2 linked regions of the Saccharomyces cerevisiae S288C genome follow. Changing the gene in region 2 together with the main gene of any one other region gives a genetic interaction. Each region holds a gene or a part of one and is shown on either strand. Other genes may lie near its edges.

Region 1 (6,059 bases), on a different chromosome or scaffold from region 2:
GAAAGAGCTATTCAATTGTTGGAGTTATTTAGTCCATGCCTAGTCAAAAGTCTAAAAGTAATGATAGCACAAAATATGGAGAATGAAGCTTGTCAGATTTTAAGGAGCTTGTCTGAATGGAACTTTCATTTTGATCAGCATGATTCCTCCAACTTGATACAATTATCCCAGAACCATTCTTGCCTCAAAGTTATTGAAACCATGAATGGATTATCATCAACTACCGCTGTCACTAGGCAATTCGGACTTGAAAAATTACCAACTGACGTGAGTTTGAAGCAGAGCATACATATTTTATCAAAAGATAATTTCGAACCTCTCAAGCAAGATTCATTTCTTCAATTTCTATCGTTTAAATTAAGTGATTTGCCTCTGAACTTAGAAGTATGGAAAAAGCACATTAAGGAGGTTGATGACCAAATGCAGGCTGAGTCCAACCTGCATTCCTTAAGAGCTTTTTTTATTGATATGCTACTGTGTCACTTATCTGTGCGCAAGGATTTCGATTTTATGCTTTCATTGGTCGAGCACATAGTATACGAAAAAAATTTATGGCAGCCATTATTACTCACAGATAATATAGTTGGAAACAAAGAAAATTCCACTTTTCATTGCCTCTTTCATGGCGCCTCTCAAGATATTTCTACCAAACTTACTCTACTGGCATTGTATAACCAGTTGAATGAAATCGGCTATCAATTTACCTCCCACGATTTTCTCTCGATGTTGAAAGTCTGCAAAAACTACTCTGATTCTGATTTTTTCTATTTTGCTTTCTATAATTTGTTGGTTACACAAAGTCACAAATTTTTTCTTTTCGATAAGTTTAGTGATAAGTTTTCGTGGAGGTTGCCAATACAAATCGGAGATGCAATTTCTGAATGGCTATCCAGCTTAGAAATTGATATACAAGAAAACACCGATAGAGTTTTGCAGATAACAGATGACGTCGGCGAATGGTATGTTGAGAATAAACCATTTAAGTCAGAAAAAGGGACCATTCAACCAATAAACATAATGGAATTGCGCAAAATTTTTGGGGAGCGAAAAACTCTATTTCATATGGATTCAGAAATTTTCCAAAAATCTAAAGCAAAAAGAGATAAAGAAATGCGGAATGAAGCTTTATTTACCGCAAATGATGCGGAATATAATTTTGCTGCGGATGTATCCTATGCAAAGAGAGTAGAAAATCTATTTTCTTACATAAGATCTAAGCAAATGCAACAAAAATAATGATTATATGTAAAATTTGCCGTTTACATTCTATAAAGTGATATCAGACTCTAATATATTCGCCAATTCATGTTTCTGGCAGGCCACTTGTAGAGCTTGGAGTTGCCTGGTGACACCTAATTCCAAAAATATCTGGAACATACCTTGTAAAGCGACATTTTGATCAGTCATAAATTTTGATTTTGTTGCGGCGTATTCACGTTTCACAAGAACCAACAACCTTTTCAGTATTATGTTGGATAGATTCTTCTGGTCAGCATTTTCTCTCATTGTGTGGTAACAAGATATTGCCAAGAACGGGAAGAATTTGATCACGCTTACTCTCAATGTCGTACAATCTAATAAATGTAGGTTATAGAACTTGGCGAAAACACCCTGAAAATTAAAATTTGGATGTAGAACAACCAACCCAGATTCCATGATTCTAGTCCAAAATTTTACACAATGAATGGTGAATTTGATGGTGTCAAATCTCATACCTCCTGTTAATGGATCCTTGTTACGATCGCGTATTCTTGATTCAGCGATTTGTTTAGCGCTTGGAATTATTCTGATTAAATCGTGGCATAATTCCAGCTGTTGTGAAGGAGACAAAGATCTGTAGTATACGATAAATGAATCTATTGATGAAGTAAGCTGAGAATCTGTAAAATGTATTGCTCCAGCGCTCACTGCATATCCTTTCCAGAATTCTTCACTTAAACCTTGCTTGTGACGGAAATTGAGTATCGAAGAGTCAGATAACACAGTGATTTGTGATGTGGCCGAAGCAAGTAATTGATAACTTAGTTTTCTGATCTCTGGTACAGGTTCCGCCAGCAATCTCGTTAATTTTGGATTGATGGAGTCGCAATCACCAGATAAGAAATCGGGATGGGATTGCATAAGTTTTAAAGCCTGTATTCTTACCAGACGTCCTACATCACCCTGTTGAGTTATTGTATAATCATCGAGACAGTTGATAATGATGTTGCGAAATTTTCGATACGAATTCGACGGGAGTAAGCTTATTCTAACATCCCAATGATGATCAAGTTCGCCTATCAAAAGCGATCTGGATTGAGGTGACAATAGGGGGAACTGGGAGAAGAAAAGGGAACACATCTTTTCTTGATCGGGCATATGACATATTGATCGGCAAGTCAGTTCGTTATCTGATTTAATTAATTGAACAATCCTTGTGTAGTTTAGGCTAACGCATTGAGATATTATTTGCTGTATTATAGGGATGAATTCGTTGTACAGATTTAACTTCTTTTGTGGGGATACTATGTCTACAAATTTCCAAAACAATTCCTGATTGAAATCATTTTGTCCTGTTAATTGCCAGTATTTCAAAATGACAAAAATTTGAAACAGTTCGGGCGAATTATCGTTAAATTGTCTTTTCGCTTGAGTAGTTAATTGGAATTTTATCTTTTTCTGGTAAATGTCGATACAAATCTCGCTTATTTTCGGGCAATTTACGTCATTTTCGAATAGTTTCAAGTACAAGTACAAAATTTGACAATTTTGTGTAACTGAGCTGCCAGCCTTGTTTAATACCTCTTGCAATAAAGCGGGTGAAGATAATTTCGACTTGATTAATGGAACTAGGTTATAATCTATGTTGAGTTTCATTGTGGTCAAATGTAAATTCTCTAGTAAATTCCAATTGAAGGACCAATCGCGGAATACCTTCCATACGCAAACAGCACTTTTGGAGGTGTTTTCGGGGTTGAACAGCCTACGAATTAGACCAGAGTTCTCCTCGAAAGACCTCGGTAGATCCTTCCAATTTGCTTGCAATATCAAAGCAATGTCATTTTGATTTAGCGCAAGAGATTTGTTGGACCTGCCCAATAATTCTTGGAGCGCGGCAAAACTCGAGTATCTGATTATTAATTCGGGGTCAAAAAAGGCGTTTATTAACAGATGAGAAAGTAGTGATTGTAGAACCTGCGGCGATAAACTATTGCTACGGTTTGACCTTATTACTGACCAGATAATGAAGTTTGTCGAGTCCCTGATATGGTGGCCCTTGATGATTTGAAAGTGAGATTTCTGAAAATGACATGTTTTAGGGATGATCAGAGTCAATACGCGGTCGACTAGATCTATAGGCAGAATTTTGGCCAGAGCCACCTCGGCGATGATCAGAAGGGAAGTGTGCAGCTCATTGCTATCGATAGAATCGCAAGGAGCCTGTAATAGGGAAACCGTATTTTCGATGGTATAATCAATGAGCTCGATAAAAGATGCTGGATCTGCCTGGTGCAGGAACTTGGCAATTTTAGCGAAGGAGTGTGCCAATTGGAATCTTGTGTCTGTGGAATTCGAACTTAAATGGTCATGGAAGAATTCTACTATAGCATCTAGGATATCATGAGAGCCATGATTGAACGAAATCTGGAATAATTTTGGCAGCAGCTTTATTCCGTCATTGGACAGTGCAACTTGTTGTAAGTGTCTTAGATTTTCATTGGAGAAGTAGTAGTTTGCCTTTTCCGAAGACTGAATAAACAGCTTTAAAAATTGGTTGAGAAACGGCACATTTGCCTGTTCCCGTTCCGGTAGCTGGTCAAAGGCATCTGTGAAGTTTTTGAAATATAAAACGGCTTTGATCTTGTTAATTGGAGGTATGCAAATGGGGTAGTTCTCGAACCTGGAAGATACTTGAAGCGTTTTGTTGAATTTATCTTTGAATGCGTAAGGTGAAAGCAGAATGACGCTTAGCCAAGAAAGGTTTAGATAGACGCACAAGACATCGCTGAAAGAAGAGGGCGAGGCTCGATCTTGTAAATAGTTTAAAATTTCGTTTAATCTAAAAATACTTGTATCTAATGATTTAAGGACTTTTGAGTGGGAGATCTTGTCAAGATTGTAGAAAAGCTCCGCAACAAGTTTCTGATCACGCTGTGACATACAAAAGAACGACTTGGTCAAAAGAGGCACGCATCTCGGTAGTATGGTGTCTAGAAGTGCAGGATCATCTTGAAATTTGTTGATCGCGGCAATCGTCTGTTGGTGCTTTTCTGGAGAAACGGTCTGAACTCCAGATTGTATCGAGTCCAGCAAGGCCCGAATATTGTTCATGATTGAAGGGTGTAAAGTGCGTGTGGTGGCGTTCTTTCCAAAAATATTATCGTCTTTCCTTTTTTTTTCTTTTTTTTTTTTTCAATAGTAATAGTATTTCCTAGTGATCTCGGCGATTTTCCTTGATTTCTCCAAAAGCGTTTTTACCCGGACGATATGAATCCATCTATTAAACATCATAACATCATATTATTTTTTTCTGTGCTTCTAAAACGGAGATCAAATACCGGGCCCGCGCGCGATGGCCGGATGTCCGTCCATACTGCAATGTGAATTCCCGCGCGGTTCAAATCTTGTCACAAGTTTGTCAAAATTGCTTGTCATGTCTGCCAAATCTCCAGGGTCCTAAATCTGAGGTAGCACGGCACGGCACAAGATGGTACCCATGGTGCGTGACGACAGCCGCTACTTGCACGGCTTTGTTCCGGCAGCCCGGGTACCCGCGCTGCGAGTTGAAACATCATCAAACCAAAAGGGAAGCGACGTTAGTTTTTTTCATTGCGCTAGCTATGACGTTTGGGTGGCCTAGCCGGTTCGCGTGTGCCTGTCGCTTTTGTCGCTTTTCAACTTCTGCCCGATATTTCCTATCAAAGGAAAATGGGACGTTTTCAACCCCTCGCTATCATCGTGCCTGCACTCTGCCTATCGCCAACTACACCGGGGTTTTATCTGCTTCACCCCTCCATCCAGTGCTGATAACAAGAAGAACCTTGCAGGGTAGGGCAGGACCTACGGCCAAAATACTAATTATGTCTGTTTATGTACATGCCCCAATCTGAATATTCCATGAATGTAGGCACAGCATATCTCCATCCATGTACTGATACAGACGCATAAACATATATGTATATACATACTTATACACTCGAATATTTGTAGACTGATGTACTTCTATATATATATAGGGGGTTTGTGTTCCTCTTCCTTTCCTTTTTTTTTCTCTCTTCCCTTCCAGTTTCTTTTATTCTTTGCTGTTTCGAAGAATCACACCATCAATGAATAAATCATGGTAAATATACTGCCCTTCCACAAGAACAATAGACACAGCGCGGGAGTCGTCACCTGCGCGGACGATGTTAGCGGCGACGGTAGCGGCGGCGACACCAAGAAGGAGGAGGATGTTGTCCAGGTAACGGAATCACCATCGTCCGGGTCGCGCAATAATCATCGCAGCGACAATGAAAAAGATGACGCCATCCGTATGGAGAAAATATCTAAGAACCAGTCCGCGTCGTCCAACGGCACCATCCGCGAGGATTTGATTATGGACGTGGACTTGGAGAAATCGCCCTCCGTCGATGGCGATAGCGAGCCGCACAAACTAAAACAAGGTTTGCAGTCGCGCCATGTGCAACTGATCGCGCTGGGCGGCGCCATCGGTACCGGTTTGCTGGTGGGGACTTCATCCACGCTTCATACGTGCGGTCCCGCGGGGCTGTTCATATCGTACATTATTATTTCCGCGGTGATCTACCCGATCATGTGCGCGCTGGGCGAAATGGTGTGCTTTTTGCCCGGTGATGGTTCTGACAGTGCCGGGTCGACGGCCAATCTGGTCACTAGGTACGTTGACCCTTCGTTGGGCTTCGCCACTGGGTGGAATTACTTCTACTGCTACGTCATTTTAGTGGCCGCCGAGTGTACGGCGGCATCCGGTGTGGTCGAATACTGGACCACCGCGGTTCCCAAGGGCGTTTGGATCACGATCTTTCTATGCGTGGTTGTTATACTAAACTTTTCCGCGGTCA
Region 2 (5,150 bases):
ATTTGGCCAGTGCAAAGTAGAACAAATCGGCAGCCTCCCAAGAAAGCTCCTTCTTACCCTTTGCCTCAGTCAGTTCTTCAGCTTCTTCCTTGATCTTGGCATCTAACAATGCAGAGTCGTTGAATAGTCTTCTAGTATAAGATTCCTCTGGAGCGTCCTGTAGCCTTTGTTTTAGTAAAGATTCTAGCCCCACCAAACCATGCTTGAATTCACCAAAGCAAGACATGGTCTCCAAGTGGCAAAATCCAACGTTTTCTTGTTCAACGATAAACTTTAAGGCATCCGAATCACAGTCAGTAGAGATTTGTAAAAGCTTTTGGCCATTGCCAGAAGTTTCACCCTTGATCCAGATTTCATTCCTAGAACGAGAATAATAAACGCCACGACCCAAATCGATGGCCTTTGCTATAGATTTCTTCGAAGAATACACCAACCCTAGACAACGCTCATATTGGTCGACAACTAGGGTGGTATATAAACCGTCAGGACGGTCTGTACGTACTTCACCAAGCACTTCTTTGGTCAACATATCCTTGCTTAATTTCTTTATGGACACAATTTTATCTTGCGAGAATTTTTGTTTTACCATGAATTGATTGGAGAAAACACCGTTCTCTTCCACAACAACACGCTCCTTTGGTACATTCAATTGTTCAACCAAGTGTTCGGCTGTTTTAGCATCTTGGCTAGCAATGAACAGAGAAGAAACTCCGTTGTTCAAGAAGGCAATGATTTCATCATCGCTGAATTTACCACTTGGCAAGGACAAAGCCACCAATGGAACTTCTTCCTCTTTGGAGAACTGGAGAATCTCTTCATTACTCAGGCTCGAGCCATCCAAAAGTACCTGACCAACAAGTGAAACGTATTCCTTCTTACTATTCCATGAGGCCAGATCATCAATTAACGGTAGAATCGGCAAAACCATTATTCAGAAAAAAAATTTTGTAAACTATTGTATTACTATTACACAGCGCAGTTGTGCTATGATATTTTTATGTATGTACAACACACATCGGAGGTGAATATAACGTTCCATATCTATTATATACACAGTATACTACTGTTCATAGTCATATCCTTTTCTTACCTTCTATATCGAATGACTGATAAAAAAACGTGAGTCACTGTGCATGGGTTTAGCAATTAATTAACTAATTTACCGGAGTCACTATTAGAGTCAGTTCGACTGCCTAGAAGAACTGCTGGTTGTCAGGATTGTGATGGGGGCATTCTGCTGTATTATGACCCATCGTATCGCAATGCTCACACCACTGTTGTCTTCCTGCCGTGGTATCGACTGGTGCAGGGGGGTCGAAAATTGGCAACGATTCCACGGCTGTTTGTGCTTGAGCCTGTTCCAACTGTTTGATTTTTTCATTAGCCTCTTCAAGTTTTTTCGTTAAGGATGCCACCTCTTCCGATGAGGAATCTTGTGGTTTTGTCAAAAATAGTTCCTTGCTCAAATTTTGGTATTCTTTACTGAGCGAATCGTTATGCATTTTCAATTGTTCGCGTTCTTTAGCCCACTTTGTCTTGTGTAACTCAAATTGGTCTTCTATGTTGCGTAATTGTTCCAGCTGTTTTTTCAGGAGTTCGACATCTTCGTTGGCACCAGTGGGTTGATTATGAGAAAGATTTCTCTCTTCGTTTTCTTTGATCTCTTCGTGTAGTTGGCTTACGACAGCAAGTAGCTGTTCATTCTCAGCGTCAAAAAACTGCTTTTGTTTGGCTTGCTGTCTGCGTTCGAGCTCCAATTGTTGCTTGAGATGGTCTATCTCTTTCTCTCTTTCTTGTATTGTGGCTTCATACCTATCAAAAGTCGGTTGCACTTCTTCGAGGACCATTCTTTGGTCATCGAGTAGCCTTTTGTAGTGTAGTTGTTTCCTTTGTAGCTTTTCGATGGTCAATTGGGCTTCTCGTAATTCAATTGTAACTTCGCTGCTATTGAGGTCATTCATGTGGCCATTGTCCGGTTTCCAATCGCTGGTGGTGTTGTGATTAGCCTTTCTGTCTGATGACAGGATAGAGTCGACCTCCATTCTGTCTTCTCTGTTATCGTAACCAAATTCTTGCTGTTGATGGTGATCCGATGCCTCCTGGTCCATCGACTGTTGATTACCGCTGTGCCGACTGGTGATCCGGAAACTTCTCATGGGTGTGGGGGATTTAGGATCATCCATGGGAGAGAACTGGTTAGTGAGCCTCACAATAGATCTGTTTTTGGGTATTGATAGCGGTTCCATTGTCGTTCTTCTCGAGGTTTGCGATATCGATGCCTTCTCGATCAATGATGCGACTTTTTGCAACTGAATAAATAGTCCACTTTGAGGATACTCCGTTTGAAAATACTTCTTCCCCATGAATGATCCATCGTTCTTACCAATGTTGGCAAGTAAGTCTACACCAGCAAACATTCCAGCTTTCGTGTCCACTGGACCCACGTATTTCAGTTGTCCGCGCCCCAAATTTGGGATTTGTATGAAACATCCTATCTTTCTTTGATATCTATCCATGGTATTTCAAACGCATACACAGCCAGCCACAGCTCAACGCCTTTTACCTTGTCCTTTGATGCCTGTCTCGTCCAAACGTTTTTGGTGTCTTGGCCAATTGCCCTTCTGAAAAATCTCACTGTCCGCAACTCATTAAAAGATACCCAAGCAAGCTACACGATAAAGAAAGGAGAAAGTTCATTAAAAGAACGTACATATAGCGATACAAACGTATAGCAAAGATCTGAAATGGATACGGATAAGTTAATCTCAGAGGCTGAGTCTCATTTTTCTCAAGGAAACCATGCAGAAGCTGTTGCGAAGTTGACATCCGCAGCTCAGTCGAACCCCAATGACGAGCAAATGTCAACTATTGAATCATTAATTCAAAAAATCGCAGGATACGTCATGGACAACCGTAGTGGTGGTAGTGACGCCTCGCAAGATCGTGCTGCTGGTGGTGGTTCATCTTTTATGAACACTTTAATGGCAGACTCTAAGGGTTCTTCCCAAACGCAACTAGGAAAACTAGCTTTGTTAGCCACAGTGATGACACACTCATCAAATAAAGGTTCTTCTAACAGAGGGTTTGACGTAGGGACTGTCATGTCAATGCTAAGTGGTTCTGGCGGCGGGAGCCAAAGTATGGGTGCTTCCGGCCTGGCTGCCTTGGCTTCTCAATTCTTTAAGTCAGGTAACAATTCCCAAGGTCAGGGACAAGGTCAAGGTCAAGGTCAAGGTCAAGGACAAGGTCAAGGTCAAGGTTCTTTTACTGCTTTGGCGTCTTTGGCTTCATCTTTCATGAATTCCAACAACAATAATCAGCAAGGTCAAAATCAAAGCTCCGGTGGTTCCTCCTTTGGAGCACTGGCTTCTATGGCAAGCTCTTTTATGCATTCCAATAATAATCAGAACTCCAACAATAGTCAACAGGGCTATAACCAATCCTATCAAAACGGTAACCAAAATAGTCAAGGTTACAATAATCAACAGTACCAAGGTGGCAACGGTGGTTACCAACAACAACAGGGACAATCTGGTGGTGCTTTTTCCTCATTGGCCTCCATGGCTCAATCTTACTTAGGTGGTGGACAAACTCAATCCAACCAACAGCAATACAATCAACAAGGCCAAAACAACCAGCAGCAATACCAGCAACAAGGCCAAAACTATCAGCATCAACAACAGGGTCAGCAGCAGCAACAAGGCCACTCCAGTTCATTCTCAGCTTTGGCTTCCATGGCAAGTTCCTACCTGGGCAATAACTCCAATTCAAATTCGAGTTATGGGGGCCAGCAACAGGCTAATGAGTATGGTAGACCGCAACAGAATGGTCAACAGCAATCCAATGAGTACGGAAGACCGCAATACGGCGGAAACCAGAACTCCAATGGACAGCACGAATCCTTCAATTTTTCTGGCAACTTTTCTCAACAGAACAATAACGGCAACCAGAACCGCTACTGAACGATGATTCAGTTCGCCTTCTATCCTTTGTTTACGTATTTGTTTATATATATAACTTTATTTTTTTTTATTAATTGGGCTGCAAGACAATTTTGTTGTCAGTGATGCCTCAATCCTTCTTTTGCTTCCATATTTACCATGTGGACCCTTTCAAAACAGAGTTGTATCTCTGCAGGATGCCCTTTTTGACGTATTGAATGGCATAATTGCACTGTCACTTTTCGCGCTGTCTCATTTTGGTGCGATGATGAAACAAACATGAAACGTCTGTAATTTGAAACAAATAACGTAATTCTCGGGATTGGTTTTATTTAAATGACAATGTAAGAGTGGCTTTGTAAGGTATGTGTTGCTCTTAAAATATTTGGATACGACATCCTTTATCTTTTTTCCTTTAAGAGCAGGATATAAGCCATCAAGTTTCTGAAAATCAAAATGGTAGCAACAATAATGCAGACGACAACAACTGTGCTGACGACAGTCGCCGCAATGTCTACTACCTTAGCATCAAATTACATATCTTCGCAAGCTAGTTCCTCGACGAGTGTAACAACAGTAACGACAATAGCGACATCAATACGCTCTACACCGTCTAATCTACTCTTTTCTAATGTGGCGGCTCAGCCAAAATCATCTTCAGCAAGCACAATTGGGCTTTCAATCGGACTTCCCATCGGAATATTCTGTTTCGGATTACTTATCCTTTTGTGTTATTTCTACCTTAAAAGGAATTCGGTGTCCATTTCAAATCCACCCATGTCAGCTACGATTCCAAGGGAAGAGGAATATTGTCGCCGCACTAATTGGTTCTCACGGTTATTTTGGCAGAGTAAGTGTGAGGATCAGAATTCATATTCTAATCGTGATATTGAGAAGTATAACGACACCCAGTGGACCTCGGGTGATAACATGTCTTCAAAAATACAGTACAAAATTTCCAAACCCATAATACCGCAGCATATACTGACACCTAAGAAAACGGTGAAGAACCCATATGCTTGGTCTGGTAAAAACATTTCGTTAGACCCCAAAGTGAACGAAATGGAGGAAGAGAAAGTTGTGGATGCATTCCTGTATACTAAACCACCGAATATTGTCCATATTGAATCCAGCATGCCCTCGTATAATGATTTACCTTCTCAAAAAACGGTGTCCTCAAAGAAAACTGCGTTAAAAACGAGTGAGAAA

What was found.
Region 1: mutations in BIK1 (region 2) and CIN1 together harm fitness more than expected from each alone (negative genetic interaction), as found in Saccharomyces cerevisiae (5 studies listed by BioGRID, with this or other methods).

What each region holds. Positions count from the first base shown.
Region 1 is NC_001147.6:988,041-994,099, reverse strand, and holds CIN1 (Cin1p), read right to left. Parts: upstream 4,312-6,059; coding exon 1,267-4,311; downstream 1-1,266. Other genes in the region: MNE1 (Mne1p), read left to right, coding at 1-1,236; proline permease PUT4, read left to right, coding at 5,318-6,059.
Region 2 is NC_001135.5:67,406-72,555, forward strand, and holds BIK1 (Bik1p), read right to left. Parts: upstream 2,517-5,150; coding exon 1,194-2,516; downstream 1-1,193. Other genes in the region: HIS4 (trifunctional histidinol dehydrogenase/phosphoribosyl-AMP cyclohydrolase/phosphoribosyl-ATP diphosphatase), read right to left, coding at 1-928; prion domain-containing protein RNQ1, read left to right, coding at 2,745-3,962; FUS1 (Fus1p), read left to right, coding at 4,398-5,150. UniProt on the Saccharomyces cerevisiae protein: Required for nuclear fusion, chromosome disjunction, and nuclear segregation during mitosis. Probably required for the formation or stabilization of microtubules during mitosis and for spindle pole body fusion during conjugation.